2 linked regions of the Tamandua tetradactyla genome follow. The main gene of each other region encodes a partner of the protein of the gene in region 2 in a complex. Links are inferred from orthologs where the notes say so. Each region holds a gene or a part of one and is shown on either strand. Other genes may lie near its edges.

The links. Proteins that work in one complex are often made in the same cells at the same time.
Region 1: the proteins of MUS81 (region 2) and EME2 are in contact, whole or in part, in a crystal structure (PDB 7F6L), measured with the Homo sapiens proteins. The link is inferred for Tamandua tetradactyla from reciprocal best matches to the Homo sapiens genes MUS81 and EME2. Residues at the interface, in NP_079404.3 of Homo sapiens: His330, Glu351, Phe354, Lys357, Arg358, Arg363, Val365, Glu381, Leu385, Gln386, Thr389, Asn390, Gln392, Val393, Ile394, Phe398, Lys400, Arg401, Tyr411, Leu414, Leu415, Arg417, Gly418, Leu419, Arg421, Leu422, Pro447, Ile464, Lys467, Ala468; in NP_001244299.1 of Homo sapiens: Glu140, Arg177, His179, Glu220, Glu221, Val224, Leu225, Gln227, Leu228, Trp229, Asn231, Leu232, Asp233, Leu235, Arg245, His246, Ala249, Val250, Lys252, Ala253, Leu254, Gln256, Tyr257, Lys260, Gln261, Glu264, Gln266, Phe268, Phe270, Cys271.

What each region holds. Positions count from the first base shown.
Region 1 is NC_135349.1:55,714,259-55,721,721, forward strand, and holds the start of EME2 (structure-specific endonuclease subunit EME2), read right to left. Parts: upstream 3,008-7,463; coding exon 2,788-3,007; intron 2,491-2,787; coding exon 2,354-2,490; intron 1,956-2,353; coding exon 1,863-1,955; intron 1,357-1,862; coding exon 1,265-1,356; intron 1,124-1,264; coding exon 1,033-1,123; intron 944-1,032; coding exon 828-943; intron 678-827; coding exon 488-677; intron 417-487; coding exon 246-416; 3' UTR 1-245. Other genes in the region: MRPS34 (small ribosomal subunit protein mS34), read left to right, coding at 3,149-3,469, 3,650-3,692, 3,764-4,056; NME3 (nucleoside diphosphate kinase 3), read left to right, coding at 4,754-4,799, 4,874-5,004, 5,085-5,186, 5,312-5,424, 5,536-5,653; MAPK8IP3 (C-Jun-amino-terminal kinase-interacting protein 3), read right to left, coding at 7,380-7,463. UniProt on the Homo sapiens protein: Non-catalytic subunit of the structure-specific, heterodimeric DNA endonuclease MUS81-EME2 which is involved in the maintenance of genome stability. In the complex, EME2 is required for DNA cleavage, participating in DNA recognition and bending.
Region 2 is NC_135335.1:8,665,141-8,672,258, reverse strand, and holds the start of MUS81 (structure-specific endonuclease subunit MUS81), read left to right. Parts: upstream 1-4,102; 5' UTR 4,103-4,367; coding exon 4,368-4,502; intron 4,503-4,596; coding exon 4,597-4,726; intron 4,727-4,934; coding exon 4,935-5,020; intron 5,021-5,543; coding exon 5,544-5,642; intron 5,643-5,739; coding exon 5,740-5,808; intron 5,809-5,996; coding exon 5,997-6,082; intron 6,083-6,613; coding exon 6,614-6,754; intron 6,755-6,954; coding exon 6,955-7,050; intron 7,051-7,118. Other genes in the region: CFL1 (cofilin-1), read right to left, coding at 1,765-1,767. UniProt on the Homo sapiens protein: Catalytic subunit of two functionally distinct, structure-specific, heterodimeric DNA endonucleases MUS81-EME1 and MUS81-EME2 that are involved in the maintenance of genome stability.

The DNA of each region.
Region 1 (7,463 bases), on a different chromosome or scaffold from region 2:
CCTTCTGGGTCATTAGCACCTGCCCTGCTCCCAGACCTCCCCTCACACTCAACTTGGGGTCAGGTCCAACCCAGATGGAAACAGGCCTGCCCGAGGCCCTGCCGTGCCTTCGCTCCAGGCTGAAGGTGCAGGACTCCCAGGTTTCCCCACTGTGGGTGGCCTTTCCTGTTCCCCATCCCAGCCCCGTGAGCCCCCATCCCAGCCCCGTGAGCCCCATGCTGCCGGGCTGGGGGCAGGAGGTGCCATCAGGAGCCCAGGTCCAGCAGGAGGTCAGGGTTGGTGGTGGTCAGGAAGAGGCAGATGCGGCGGGAAAGGTCGGGTCCCAGCCTGCGAGGTCGCAGGCCCTCTGGCGCTGTCACGGGGAGGTCAGCCAGCAGGGCCAGCTGTTCCTGCTCGGTGCTGCAGGCCACGTAAGCCTAGGACAGGCAGGGAGGTGGGCAGGAAGCCTGGCCCAACCCCATCCCCAGGTCTGGCTGGGGGAGTTTACCTGCTGAAGGAGGCGGGGGGAGGGGAAGGCAGCCACAACAGCCTCGGCCGCGGCTGGGCCCACTCGGTTAAACTGGCTGATCTGCCTGTGCCAGGCCCTCCGCAGCCCCGTGCCATCTCGTGCCACGCGCTCCCCCCCTGCCCAGCGTCCGGCTGTGCAGAAGGAGAACGCCTGGGCCTCCCGGTATCGCCTAGAGACGGGCGGAGCACAGGGTCCTTCCAGAAGGTCCATGCTGCTCTGCTGCCCCTCCCCTCCAGCCTCCATGAAGTCTCAAAGAGGTAGGGACACCCACCCCCTGCCAGCCCCTCCCAGCCAGGCCCTGGGTGAGGGAGGCGCGTACTTGTAGGGGCGCTGGGCCAAGGCTCTGGTGAAGGCGCACACGTGCTCACTCAGCTCCTGCCAGGATGCCACCAGCAGTACGTCCAGCTCCGCCCAGAGCTGTAGGAGCACCAGGGCCTGAGGAGCAGGGAGCCGCAGGGTGGGTCGGAAGGCTCTCTGGGAGACACACTGCAGCCAGCCCGCGCCAGGCTCCAGCCCAGTCTCACCTCCTCCACCTGGGGCCAGCCGACGGCCCCCTCGGCACCAGTCACTGCTGGGCTCCCCTGCTGGATCCCCTGGCCACTGGGCTGGTGAGACCTGAGCAGAGGTGGATTCTGGCCCCACCCTCCTTGGGTTCTCCGGCTTCCCCCAAAGCCTACCCAGTGGAGTCCCAGAAATACCACCCCACCTTCCCTGGCTCCCAAGGTCCCTCCCAGAGGAAATGAGGGTGAGCGGTACCACAGGTAGGCATCCAGCCCGATGACGGCCAGGTGGGGGCGGGCGGGGCTTTCGGGACAAATCCAGGGCACCGAGCAAGCTGGGTCAGACCCCTGTAAGCCAAGGCTGTGTCCACACCCAGCGCGCCAGGCTGGTGTGGGCCTCCATGGTGTCAGGGTGGCTAAGAAGGCCTGTGGGCACGCTTCCTCCTTCGTGGGCCACCCCTGCGCCCCCCAAGCCAAGGTCTGGCGAGGCTACAACAGGTGCTTGAGAAATGCTGGGTCCTGGATGCTGGGACTGGGCAGAAGGTCTAACTGGGTAGCGCTCTGGCACAAGAATCACACGTGTTTTCCACTCCAGGCAAAGGGAGTTGCACAGCCAGTCCCAGACCCTTCCCTCTTGCCCGCACACAGCCTCTGCCTCCCACCTTCCATATTGCCTGGTCCCCTAGAAACAGCTGTGGCTCCCACCTGTTCATCTCACCTGCTGTCTCTGTGGTTTCAGAACAGAGCAGCAGCTGGGGCTGCCCAATGCACTCAGGCAAATACCCTCCCCCAGGAGCAACGACTGAGCCCATGAACTGAGAAGGACCCAGCCTGTCCCCCAGCCCCCCCAGCACCTGGGTCAGCTGGGCAACACCCTGCAGAAACTCCCCTGGTTCCAGCAGCAGCAGCACTTCCTGCTCGTTCTCAGACCACACCTCCGGGGGCACCTGCTAGGACATCCAGAGGCATGACTGCCCACCCTCAGCCTGCAGATTCAGGCCCTGCCAGGACCGCTCCACACCAGCACCACATCCTGGCTCCTGCCAGGGCCAAGACCAGCCGTGCTCCGTGGGGCCAGCGGGAACACCGACCACACGCTGTCACGGGCATGGGGGGTCCTCAGCAGCTGGGACCAGGCTCTGGAGGCAAAGGCCCTAGCCCTGCGCCCCTGCCCTGCTTCCTCCTGCCACCCAGATGATGTTTCCAGTTCTCAGAGCACCTCTCTAAGGGCAGGCACCTTTCGGGACGGCTGGCAGTATGTGACATCATGCCCATAAGACATGGGATGCAGTGGGGTGCTGGGCAAACCCAGGAAGCAGGAGCCCTGCTGCTGCAGGTCACTCACGCTGAGGGGGCAGGGGTCGGGCCTCACTCTGCTCCACCTGAGACTGTGGGCCTGAGGCTGGGGCTCGATGAGGTACTCGCAGCCCAGGGCGGCCAGGGCCTCCTTCAGGATGTCCGCCCCAGCGTCTTCCAGGATGGCTGGACCAGCCCCGAAGGAGAGAGACTGTCACCCCCTCCTTCACCGCCACTGGGGGAGGGGGGGCCGGCAGACCCGCAGCCTGGCTGTGCAACGCAACCTCCCGGACATGCTTCTGACGCACACGCTGATTCCCGACCGGCTCTTGAGTGCAGACGGGGTCCAGACCCGGCAATCCGCATTTCTCACGAGGTGCCAGCCGGGAAGCAGGCAGCCGAGGCCCCGGGAACCCGCCCCTAATGGGCCGAGCTCAGCCCCAACGCCCGCGGTCCAAGCAGGGTGCAGGCAGGGCCCCGCACCTGGGTCCACGCGCACCGCCAGGCGCCGCAGGGCTCGCTCGGGCCGAAGCAGCCGCAGTGCCTCGACCGCCGCCCTGCGCTCCTCCGCCGGCTCCCGGGCCCTCGCGGGAACCTCCGCGGGGACGGGGCCCTCGGCGTCCGAGTCCGAGATCTCCCAGGTCGGGGGCCGTCGGTGGCCCCGGCGCGAGCCCGCAGCGCTCCCTGTCCCAGCCCTCGCCATGGCCGGCCCGCTTCCGGCCACGCCCGGACGCCTTTGCCGGGGGCAACGGCCGCTTCCGGCGGCGGGCGGGCCTCGGGGCGCGCGTCGGAGGCTGTTTCCGCCCGGAGCGCTGAGAGCGCGGACCGCCTCCGTGGGCCGGCGATGGCGCGGAAGAAGGTGAGGCCGCGGCTGATCGCGGAGCTGGCCCGGCGCGTGCGGGCCGTGCGCGAGCGGCGGGAGCGGCCGCGGGACTCGCAGCGCTACGCCCTGGACTACGAGACGCTGACGCGGCCGCACACGGGCCGCCAACTGCCCCAGCGGGCCTGGACCGACGCGCGCCGCGAGAGCCGCCTCCTGCAGCTGCTCAGCCGCCTGCCGCTCTTCGGCCTGGGCCGCCTGGTCACGCGCAAGTCCTGGCTGTGGCAGCACGACGAGCCGTGCTACTGGCGCCTCACGCGGGTCCGGCCCGACTATACGGCGCAGGTGCGTGTGCGCCCACCCGGGAGCCTGCCCGGGGCGCCCGTGCGCGTCGGGCCTCCCCTCGCGACCACCAAGGCCGCGATTGCCTTCCAGGTCCAGGCCACTGTTGGGACAGGGTCTCTGGCTCCTAAGCCCAGCGGTGAGGAGTTTGCTGAACTGGCACCCTCTCCATTTACTTTGCAGAACTTGGACCACGGGAAGGCCTGGGGTATCCTGACTTTCAAAGGTATGGCTTCGGGGACTGGGCAGGGAGGTTGCGTAGTAAGAGTGTGATAAGGCCAGTCACTGTCTCCCCAGGCAAGACGGAGAGCGAGGCCCGAGAGATCGAACAGGTCATGTACCACGACTGGCGGCTGGTGCCCAAGCACGAGGAGGAGGCTTTTGTTGCTTTCTCACCTGCGCCGGAGGAACCCCTGCGTCCTGTGCCCTACCCCCCACTCCTCAGGGCCATGATCCTCGCTGAACGACAGAAGAGGGGAGACGCCAGCACTGAAGAGCCCATGCTGAGTCTGGAGAGGACACGCATCGCCCCCTGGGACTACCCTGCAAAGCTGGAGGCCGAGAAGAAGGCCAAGGGCACTCCAGTCTAAGGCGGTGGAACCGGGCAGGCTGCCCGAGGGCTGCAAGGGGATGCAGACCCTTTGGCGAAAGAAATGGTCTTTGGCAGAGCTGGGATCGTACTTTCCAGTCGTGCCCTGTCTTACCCGAGACTGTGCAATCTAGCTGAGAGTGTCGCCCAAATCCTGCCTCTGGGTTCTCCCCCGCTCAGTTTTTAGAGCCAGAAGTGTGAGAGCCGCAGGAAGAAGCAGTTGGGGGAAAGTTGGAAGTAAGGGAGGCTAGGAGGCATGGAGGCCATGGGTTCCCTTATCCCGGAATCTCCAGCTCTCATCACTTCTGTGCTGGGTTCAGGCCCTTATAACGTGTTCTCTGCTTGGTTTAAGGGTGAAGCCCTGAGAGAGAATAAAGGTAAATGAAGGAGTCTGGGAAGTGGTTTCTTTGGGTTTGGGTTGTGGTGAGCTATGGCTGGTGGTCAGGACTGAAGGAAGACAGAAAGTTCTCATGACAGCTGTGCAGCTGGCCTGGGTCGTGGAGGGCTCTGGCCCAGTGTCCAGCGGGCCGGCGGTTTGGCGGGCAGGAGAGTTCGGCTCGCAGCCTCGGAAGGAGCTGCGACGCAGGGCAGAGGGGTCGAGGGTGCAGCCTGGGGCTTCGGGGCCGCGGGGTCGCGGCCCCTTTAAGCGCAGGCCCCGCCCCGCGCCTCCCCGCCGCGCTCGGGCCGCCGCCGCCATCATGATCTGTCTGATGCTGACCCTGTTCGCCCACCTCTTTCCCGCGGGTGAGCGCCAGGGGCGCGGGCGGGGTGGGTCCCAGGCGGGAAAACGGGCCGCGCCTTACACCGCACCCCCGCAGCCTGCCCAGGCGCGCACGAGCGCACCTTCCTGGCCGTGAAGCCGGACGGCGTGCAGCGGCGGCTGGTGGGCGAGATCGTGCGGCGCTTCGAGAGGAAGGGCTTCAAGCTGGTGGCGCTGAAGCTGCTGCAGGTGGGCGCGGGGCGGGGGCGGCGCGGGGGCCGCGGGGTGGGGGCGCGGGGGGGCGCGAGACCTGCACCCTCTGCCCGCAGGCCTCCGAGGAGCTGCTGCGGGAGCACTACGCCGAGCTGCGCGAGCGACCCTTCTACGGCCGCCTGGTCCGCTACATGGGCTCCGGCCCCGTGGTGGCCATGGTGAGCGCGGGCGGGCCCCGGGTCGCCCCTCGTCCTCCATCTCCCCGGCCCTACCTCCTGTCTCCCCGCGCGGGTTGTCTCCGGCCCGCGCTGACCCTACACCCCCGGGACCCCCGCCTGCACAGGTGTGGCAGGGGCTGGACGTGGTGCGCGCCTCTCGGGCGCTCATCGGGGCCACTGACCCGGCCGCTGCCCTGCCCGGCACCATCCGCGGGGATTTCTGCATCGAGATCGGCAAGTAAGGCCTGCAGGGTGGGCCTCGGCCTCTTCACCACCCCTTTATAGCCCCAGGTGGCATCCCTGACTGATCCGCCTCAGACTGGGCTCACACCGGGCCTCTTCCCGGCAGGAATGTGATCCACGGCAGCGACTCTGTGGACAGCGCCCGCCGTGAGATCGCACTCTGGTTCCATGCAGATGAGCTCCTGTGCTGGGAGGACAGCACCGAGCACTGGCTGCACGAGTAGCCACCTCTGGCACAGATGGGCATGGCTGAGAAAGGCTGGGGATGTCTGGCATGCGAGTGGGGATGCCGGGTCACAGCTGTCCACCTGCAGCAGGCCACTCCCGCACAGAGATCCTGTAACCCCAGGGCCTCCTGGGGGTCTGTCTGGAAGATCCTGACCGAGGTGGGCTTTGGAGTCCCAGATGAGCTCTTAGGAGGAGGTGGAGGACCCCAGCAGGGGTTCACAGCACACTTGGAATGCATACAAGCCACAGCCAGCCCTCTGGGAATACCATTTCCTTTTCTATAATAAAATGAAAGCCCTTGTGTTTGCCATGTTGGTTTCGTCACATAGAAAGGCAGAGGTAGGGCGCTAGGACGTTTATTACATACAGAACGGGTACGTGGGTTCACTTACAGGGCCAAAGCCTGAGGGCAGTTGTAACGTGGCCACTGCTCCCAGAGGCACCCACCCGGCTAACCCCCGAGTCCCTTCACACACCATGGGGACAGACAAGGGACTGTACATACATCACAGTGGAGAGGTGGGGCAGAGGAGACAAGCCTGCAGCGTTTGGTGCTGCAGTGGCGCCAGGCCGAATGATGGCAGCCCGAGATCTGTGCTTCTCTGGTGGGCTTGGGTGGGCAGCGGGGCTGGGCTGCCCAGATTCAGGGCCTCATGGAGCAAAAACAAGGCAGGGGTAGGAACGGGAGGGGAAGCGGGCAAGGCCATTCCCTCAGTGAGGGCCGACCAGGGTGGTGAGACTGCAGGCAGGTGGCAGGAGCCCACCTGGGAGCTGAGCCCCCTCCCATGCACACGCGTGGAGTCCCTCAGGCCTGTGCGCAGCAGCCTCTTTCAGCTGCCCCCAGGAGAGCAGGCCGCCTCGGCCAACCCTAGGCACTTAGTCATGTGTCTGGAGCTAGGACTCCTCGGGGCGCTGGGCACGTGAAGACCCCCACCAGCCTGAGCCTGAGGAGAGGCCCCTTCTTCCTGAGCCTGGGCCTGCCCTGGCGGCCTGAGAAACCCCACCCTGGGGGCTGTGAGGAGGGGCAGGGCTCCAGAGCCAGCTCCCTCGAGGCCCTGCTCTGAGGACGGTGGGAGTAGGGGAATTGGGTTGGTGAGGGCAGAGTGGAGCCTACGTCTTGGAAGGGGACCTGGCCTGTCCTCTTGTGCACTGCCACAAGGAGCCCGGCCAGATGCTGTCATGCCAAATCCCCAGACACCAGGGCTGAGGGAACAGAAGTTTGGGGAGGGGGCCAACCCCAGGAGGACTAGCAGGGTCCAGGCACTGGGGTGCAGGCACCAGGGGCATCCACAACCCTAGCTCCCTGGGAAAAAGCCAGACCCTCAGCCCTGCCCTCTCAGGAAGAGGGAAAGCCTAGGAGACAGGCTTGGACCCCCTTTCCCCGAGGGGTGACAAGTGTCCAAAGACAAGTGGGCTCAGGGTGGGAAGACTCTCCAGTGCCCTGGGGAATTCCTGGGGCTGAAGGGAGTGGGAAGCCCTAGGAGTGCTGCCTGCTCTGGCCCTGAGATGCCCCTGGGACTTGGCTTGGGCTGGCTGTCGGCCAGGAATTGCTGGGGAAAGAGTGTCCCAAGAGGTTCCGGCGCCTGCAGGTGCAAGTGCCAGCCCTGCTCCCACTCCTCCTGGGCCCTTGGGGGGGAAGCTGCGAGTTGAGTTGAGAGGTTGGCGGGGGGTGGGCATGGTGCTGCCTGCAGGGAGGGCTGCCCAGGTGGACGGGTGAGCAGCTCACTCAGGGATGTAGGAGACCTGCCACACGATGACGTGACTGCGCTCTGCCTTGGAGAGCGCGGGCTTCACCTGGCTCACGTC
Region 2 (7,118 bases):
TCTGGATGCCACAGTATAGTCCATGACCCCACACTCCAAGGCAAATGTCATTATTTTCCCCACACAAGCCACTGCCAAAGGACTGGATGGGACATGGGAGACAACCACAGGACGGCAGCCATGGAGAAGACCTCGGATCACATAGTTCTACACCCCCCTGCGTTTCACAGGCAGGGAAACTGATGACGCGGGACAAGCAGGACCTCAGCTGAGATGCCAACCCAGCATGAAAACGAATCCACAGGCTACCAATGCGTTTCCTACTCAGAATACTCAATCTTGGCTTGTGAGAAAAGTGCTGACCTGGAATATCTCAGAGATGGTAAGAGGACCCAAACACCTAGGCCATGGGTCTTCTCTTCAGGGAACAGGTAGCCAGAACCCCAAACGCTAGACGGGACACCACGGTGTCCAACAGTTCATCACAACTGCTCAATACAGTTATTACCTAAATTATTCACTAAATTATTGTTTTAGTTGTCCCCCAACTAAAACAAGAATGACATCTTCCAATGAGGGCTCTGCAGGACAATTCTGTCCCCGGGGGATGATGCAAGGCCTCAGAGATCATCGGTAGAAGCTAACAACCCAAACTCTAGAGCCCAGAGTGCTAGAGAGTTTTTTAAACTTCTACCCTACGTCCTCCTAGGGGAAGCCCCAGTAAGGAAAGACAGGGACTGTCCGCGGTGAAATCTGTACTCCCCTCTCTGGAACTGCAGAGGAAGCCGGCCACGTGACGCAGCCGCTTCCGGAGTGGGAGAAGATAGGTTAGGCCTGGCCCTCCCCAAGAGAGAAACCCTTGCCCGAGGCAGCAGCACCTCCGGGCCCTTAACCCTTAGCACCGCTTTTCCCGACGGGCATTTCAAACCCTATCCCCTGCGGCACGAAAGTTGGACAGCTCAGGTCGAGCACAGTGGGCGGGGTGTTCTCAAGCGGTAACCGCCTGGGTCATTTCCCTCGGCTCGGCTCCACCCTCAGGCCATCTGGGTAGGCCGATGGCCCCGCTTGTCCAGGGCCTCGGCCCCCGCGGCCGGGCCCGAGCGTGTGCGCACGCGCCGGCCGCCAGCGCCGTTCCAGCCCGTGCCGGGTATACCCAGCAGAGGACCCGGATCGCTTTGCGGGTTCGCTCGCTCCCGTGCGCGGGCGTTGGAGGGGAGGCCCCAAATCCAGCCCGACCAGGTTCCCACCCGCTCTCCGCCGCCCCAGCATCCCCGCTTTAGCCGCGCCGCCCCCGCCCTTCCCGGGCATCCCTGCCACCTGCTCTCCAGACAGGCCCGTTAGCCGGCCGAGGGAGGATGGCGCGGAGGCACGAACAGCCCTTGGGTGGGGCGCACGTGCCCAAAACGCTCGCGCGCCTTCCCCTCGCCGCCCCCGGGCTCTGAACGCCGCATGCCCCGGTCGAGCGCGCGCCCCACGGGAACCGACTCGCTTCGGTCCGCGCCGCCGCGCGCCGGCTGCATCGCGAGGGGCAGGCGCGCGCGCGACCCGGACCCCTCCCCCCACGACTGATGTCCGCGCGGGCGCATCAGCGGGATGGGGGAGGGGAGGGGAGGCCAGGGGGCGCGCGAGCGACGTCCGAGCCGGCCCTCCTCGGCGCCCGCGGGCGCGCACGCGCACCCCGAGCCGCCCGCCCCTCAGCGCGAGACCCTCGTCCCGCCCGCGGCGCCGGCTGAGGGGTGCCGACGTCGCTCCCCGTCCCCTGCCGTGCGCACAGACGACCGGCCCGCAGCCGCCTCCCCTCGGGCGCTGAGGCCTGCCGCTCACCATGTTTCTGGATGCTAAAGGGACACAGCAAGGAGAACCGGAGAAGATGAGAACCGCTGCAGCTGCCGCCGAGATCCGACTGAACGCGGCCTCTCCCGACCCCTTCCGTTTAGTATGAGCCGCACAATGAGGGGCGGGGCGGGCTTCCGGCGCCCCTCCCCGCGGGCGGACGGGAAATGAAGTCCGAGGGTCCTGCGCCGTCCTCCGGCTCGGCTGGTAGCGGGGTCTTTCTCGACAGCCGGCCTCCGGCCCCGCACTGCATGCCGGAAAGTGTAGTCCAAGGTTGCGGGGAGGGGGTCGGGAGGCGGGCAGTGGGAACGGAGAACGCGCCCATTGGTGGTTTCCTAGGAAACGCGCTGACCTGAGCAATCTGTGCCGCCGCAAGTAAAGGTTGACAGGGAAAGGAGCCCCGACTTGGCGGCTCTTTATCCCGAAGCCAAACGATTTTCCTCAGACCCATGTTGGCACTTTCTGGATCTCTCAGTCTGGCCAGTTTGAGTGGGGTTAGGATTTTGCTTTTCGGAATGGAAGCAATTATCCATGAACTGGAATCCAGTTCTAAAGCAAGGAAAATGACAAGTACAAGGGCCTTCAATCCAGCATTCACTCAGCACCCTCCGTGTGCACAGCCACTCTTGTCCCCCGAGAAAAGGCCATACGCAACTTTAAAAAAAAAAAAAAAAGGAGAAAAGAAACACAAGGGACAGGCAGGCTACAGGGAAAACTTTGAAAGGAGGACTTTGTCCTTGTTTAAAGATGTTTGGCAGACATTCATCCATGGGGCAATGAAAAGGGAGGGCAAGGATTTGTGCATTCAATTCAAGGATTCTCTACGTGCCTTTTACTAGACACAGAGGAAAGGAAACATATTAAACCTGACTCGAATCTCCGTGCCCACCTCGGATACCTTGACTTCAAGCTCCCCACTCCTGTTCAAGTTGCTGTTCTCGAGTTGATAGCCAGTTAGATGATTAAACTAATACCCGCAAAAACTGAAACTAACGAAATAAACCGTTTGGGGTGAAGGGCTCCGGGAAGACTTCGCTGACCGGGACAATGACCATGACCTCACACCCTGCAAGAAAAGGCAAGATTGCAAACAAGTCAGAGACAAACCCAGCAATGGGACCGGGGGCGTGGATCTCATAAGCCGAATAACGGGTGTTAACGGAGAGCAGGCAGCCGGGTCTTCGCGAAGCCCGGGAGTGGGGGTACCTCGCAGAACATGCCGGGATTTGTAGTCCGGGATCTGCTGCTGTACCTCCCCCACCCCCACCCCCACCCTCGAGCTCCCGGGAGCCCCAGGGGGAGGCCGCAGCTCGAACCCCATCTTTCACAAGGGCGCGTGCCAGACTGGTAAGTTGATCCCACCTTTTTCGCGCTTCGCAGTTTTCAAGCGCAGCGAGGGGAGTGGGGCGGGCTTGGTAGTTACCCTGGAGACGTGCTCCCGCCCACCCCCCAGCCGCGGGATGCCCTAGATGTCCTTATTAGGACAGGAGACTGGAGGGGGTGGGACCAGCCCGAACGCCGGCTCCAGGCTCCTTATAAGGCCGCTTCTGGCGGGAGGCGGGCGTCCCTAGCGGTTTCGGGGTACCAGGGTCGCGGACTGGGTGAGGTCTCGAGGGGCGGGCCTGGAGATCTGCATCTAGCGACTTCCGGCATATCAGCCCGAGGCCTGGGTCTGCTCCAACTCCCTAGTGAGACCCTTAAGCCCAGCCCCTCAACCTTGAACCCCTTTACACGGTTCTTCAAACCCCCTGGGGGTGCCCCACCTCCAATGTGCCACAAAAACGTCCAAAGTGTTCTCCCCTTCTCCCTCTGTCTCGGCTTCTTACCCGCAGCCTGCTACCCCGGATCCAATCATGCGCACCCCATCTCAGGCTCCCCACCTACCAGCACCTCCTACCTGTAGTCCCCTTCTACCTGCCCTCGGCCTTATCCCGCCCGTCTGGCTTCGGCCCTCTTTTCAAGTCCCCGATTTCACGGTCCCCACTCTGCCCTGCGACCCCTAACTCCTGACCGCCATTTCCTCCGGTGGTCCTTCAGCAACTCCTGCCTTCCCTCTGTGCCCTCCCCTGTATCCTCACGTAGATATTCCTCCCGCAAATACACGTGCACCCATCTCCCACCCACCATCCCTCTCCGGGACTCCTCGTAAGCCCAGTCGGGCTGCCCAGGCTCTGCAAGGATGAGGCGGAAAAGCTCGGTTAAGCGCGCCCGCAACGCGCACTGCCAGCCGCAGGGGGCGCTGTCCGCCTTGCTTTCGCCCGCCCGCGGAGGATCTTCCCTAATCGCCCGGGCTCTGGACGCGGAAGTGGGCGGAGGGGCGTGGCTGAGGCTCGCGGGGCCCGGGTGGGGCGCGGGCCGAGGCCGAGTTGGGCGGTGGGAGCGAGCGGAGCGCTGAGCCGCGGAGATGGCGCCGGGAGCCACTTAGAGAAGTGTAGGGGCGGGGAGGGGGAAGGGAGGCTAGCCCGGAGTTAGTGTCTCGCGGGCGGGACCACGTGATCGGAGAGGCCCGCCTCCCCTCGGAGCCAGGTGTTCGAATCTCTCTCCCGAGCGGGCGGCGTCGCAGTCCCGCGAGCTTGAGGCCTGCCGCGGCGCCCATGGCGGCGCGCGTCCGCCTGGGCCGGAAGCGCCCACTGCCGGTTTGTCCCAACCCGCTCTTCGTCCGCTGGCTGACCGAGTGGCGGGACGAGGCCGCCAGCAGGGGGCGCCGCACTCACTTTGTATTTCAGAAGGTGGGTCCCGGCCGGGCCCGAAGGGGACCAACGCTGGCCGGGCTGGACGCGGAGGCCTGCCCTGACCCGGTACCGCACCACTTCTCCCCGCCAGGCGCTGCGCTCCCTCCGGCGATACCCACTGCCCCTGCGCAGCGGGAAGGAAGCTAAGATCCTACAGCACTTCGGAGACCGGCTGTGCCGGATGCTTGACGAGCGGCTGCAGCAGCACCGAGCATCCGGCGGTGAGCGCAGGGGCCGGGGGTGGTCGTCTCCAGCCGCCCACCCAGGTGCAGCCTCTGTGCCCACCTCGGATACCTGGGCTTCAAGCTCTCGCACACCTGTCCCAGTTGCTACTTGATCTCTGGCCAGTGGCAGAGTCCCTCCCAGCCTCCTCCCCAGCTGCCGGATTCCTGTGGGAATGCCAGGAATGACTCTCGTCTGGCTCCGCAGGTGCCCATGAACCGGGCTCACCACCTGGAAGAAAGAGCCCTGCCCAGGATGGGCCACCTGCAGAAGCCCAGGATCCTTCTGTGTCGGTGAGGAGGGGGCCGGGGAGCAGAAGGAAAGATGGGATCACCAGAAATAAGGTTTATCTGGTGATATGGATGATTTTGAGGAATATTTGACATTTAGCAGGCCTGGAGACAAATCTCCCCATCAGTGATGCCTGGCCTCCGGCAAGTGATATCCTCTCTGAGACTTGTTTTCTCATCTGTAGGCAGGGATATTGGCAGGAATCTTTCAGAAAGTTCTATGAGCAAGCTTCATAGGGGGCCCAGCCCGGTACATCGTTGAGGTTGCCATTACTGAGTTGCCCTTTACTGAGATTGTACCGTGGGCAGCGGTTCTGGAGAACTGAGGCTGGATCAGGCAGTTCCAGTCCCCCACAACCATTCCCTGTCCCAGCCCAGCTTTGCAGGGAATCATCCAGTCATCTGACTAGTTTTGCAAATAAAACTGAGAGGCAGCTGAGTGACTTGGTCGACCTAAACCTCAAGTCCTCTGGCCCTGCCAGGCGTCCCCACAGAGCCACTGTTCAGAGCCCTCTGTACCTGGCAGGTTCCAGCCAAGCCCAAGGCAGGAGGCTCTGGTGGCTACTGGCCAGCTCGGCACTCAGGGCCACGAGTGGTGCTGCTGCTGCTTTATGAGGAGCACCTGGTGAGTGTCTGGCCTGCCCAGGAGTTGGGAGAACAGAGGCAGTGGGAGCAGAGCAAAGGGGGCTGAGCCTACCCTATCATTTTGACCTTGGTTTCAGACACCTGGCAGCCCTGGCTTCCTAACCAAGGAGCAGCTGCTGCAGAGGTGTTCTCAGAAGGCTCCTAAGGTGAGCACTGGGGTAGAAGGAGGATGGGGCTGAGCAACTTTACTTCTAACCCTGAGCCCACCAGAGACTATCCATCAGGAGTGAGCAATATGTGGGGTCGGACCCATGGCTGGGAGCAGGGATAATGTGGACACTCAGCTCCAGTGAATCCCTGAGAGCCTCAACCTACCCTGCCTCCCCATCAACAGGTAGCCCCTGAGAGTGCTCGACCCTGGCCAGCCCTCCGTTCCCTCCTTCACAGGAACCTCATCCTCAGGACACACCAGCCAGCCAGGTGGAACCAACTCGGGGAGACACAGGAAGCAGAGAGGGGGCATGACATCTTCGTGGGGTGCTGCATTCATCCAGCAATGCCCAGGCTTCATGCTAGGCACTATGGAGACTGGGGCAAGGGTACCAGGAGGGTCTGAGAGATGGAGGCAATGAGTGGAAGAAGATTGCCAGGGGTTACTGGAGAAGCAGAAAGGCTTTGCTGAGGAGGCAGTATCTGACATGTCTTAGAATCCAATGCAAAGAGATGCAGGAAAGACATTTCAGGAGGAGAGAACAGCATGAGCAAAGCTGGGAAAAAAGGAAAGTTTGAGGCATGCTTACCACCTGAGATCTGAGAAGTGGTGCTGGGGAGGTCCAGAGGAAGCCAGTCTGATCGTGCAGGGCAAGGACAGCCTGGGGAGGGGAACCCAGGAGACTTATTGTGCAGGGTCGCCAAGGGGGCAGGGCAGGCAGCCTCACTGGGGGCAAGCGGGAAAGCCTGCCAGGCTTCGGTGAAAAAAGGAGATCTGTGTTCATCAATTGGGTCTTCCAGGTACTCACTGACCCCGGAGGGCCTGGAGCTGGCCCAGAAGCTGGCTGAGTTGGAGGGACTGAGCTCACTGAATGTGGGTATCAGGCCAGAAGAGCCCCCTGGGGAGGAGGCAGAAGTGCCAGGAACAGCTTCAGCTGAGCTGTGAGTGGGAGGGGAAGCTATGGGGGCAGAGCCCAGTGGAGCAGGAGGGCTCTCTGAAATGAGGCCAACACCATACCCCTACGTCCATCACCTGCAGCTGAGCCCGGCTGCTCCCTGCCTGTACCCATGGTGGGAAGAGTTGGTCTGCCTTGACCCTGGGGATTCCTGTCTCCCCACGCACTAACCGCCCCTCCCTGCAGTGGTGCCGGCGAAGCGGGGGTCCAGCAGCCACTGCTGGAGCTGGGGCCTGGAGAGTACAGCCTGCTATTGTGTGTGGATGTCGGCGAGACCACGGGGTGAGTGTGGTGCGGGAACAGGGTGGAGGTATCAGCAGAATGCCAAGGGGGGAGTGCCGCCTGCCCTG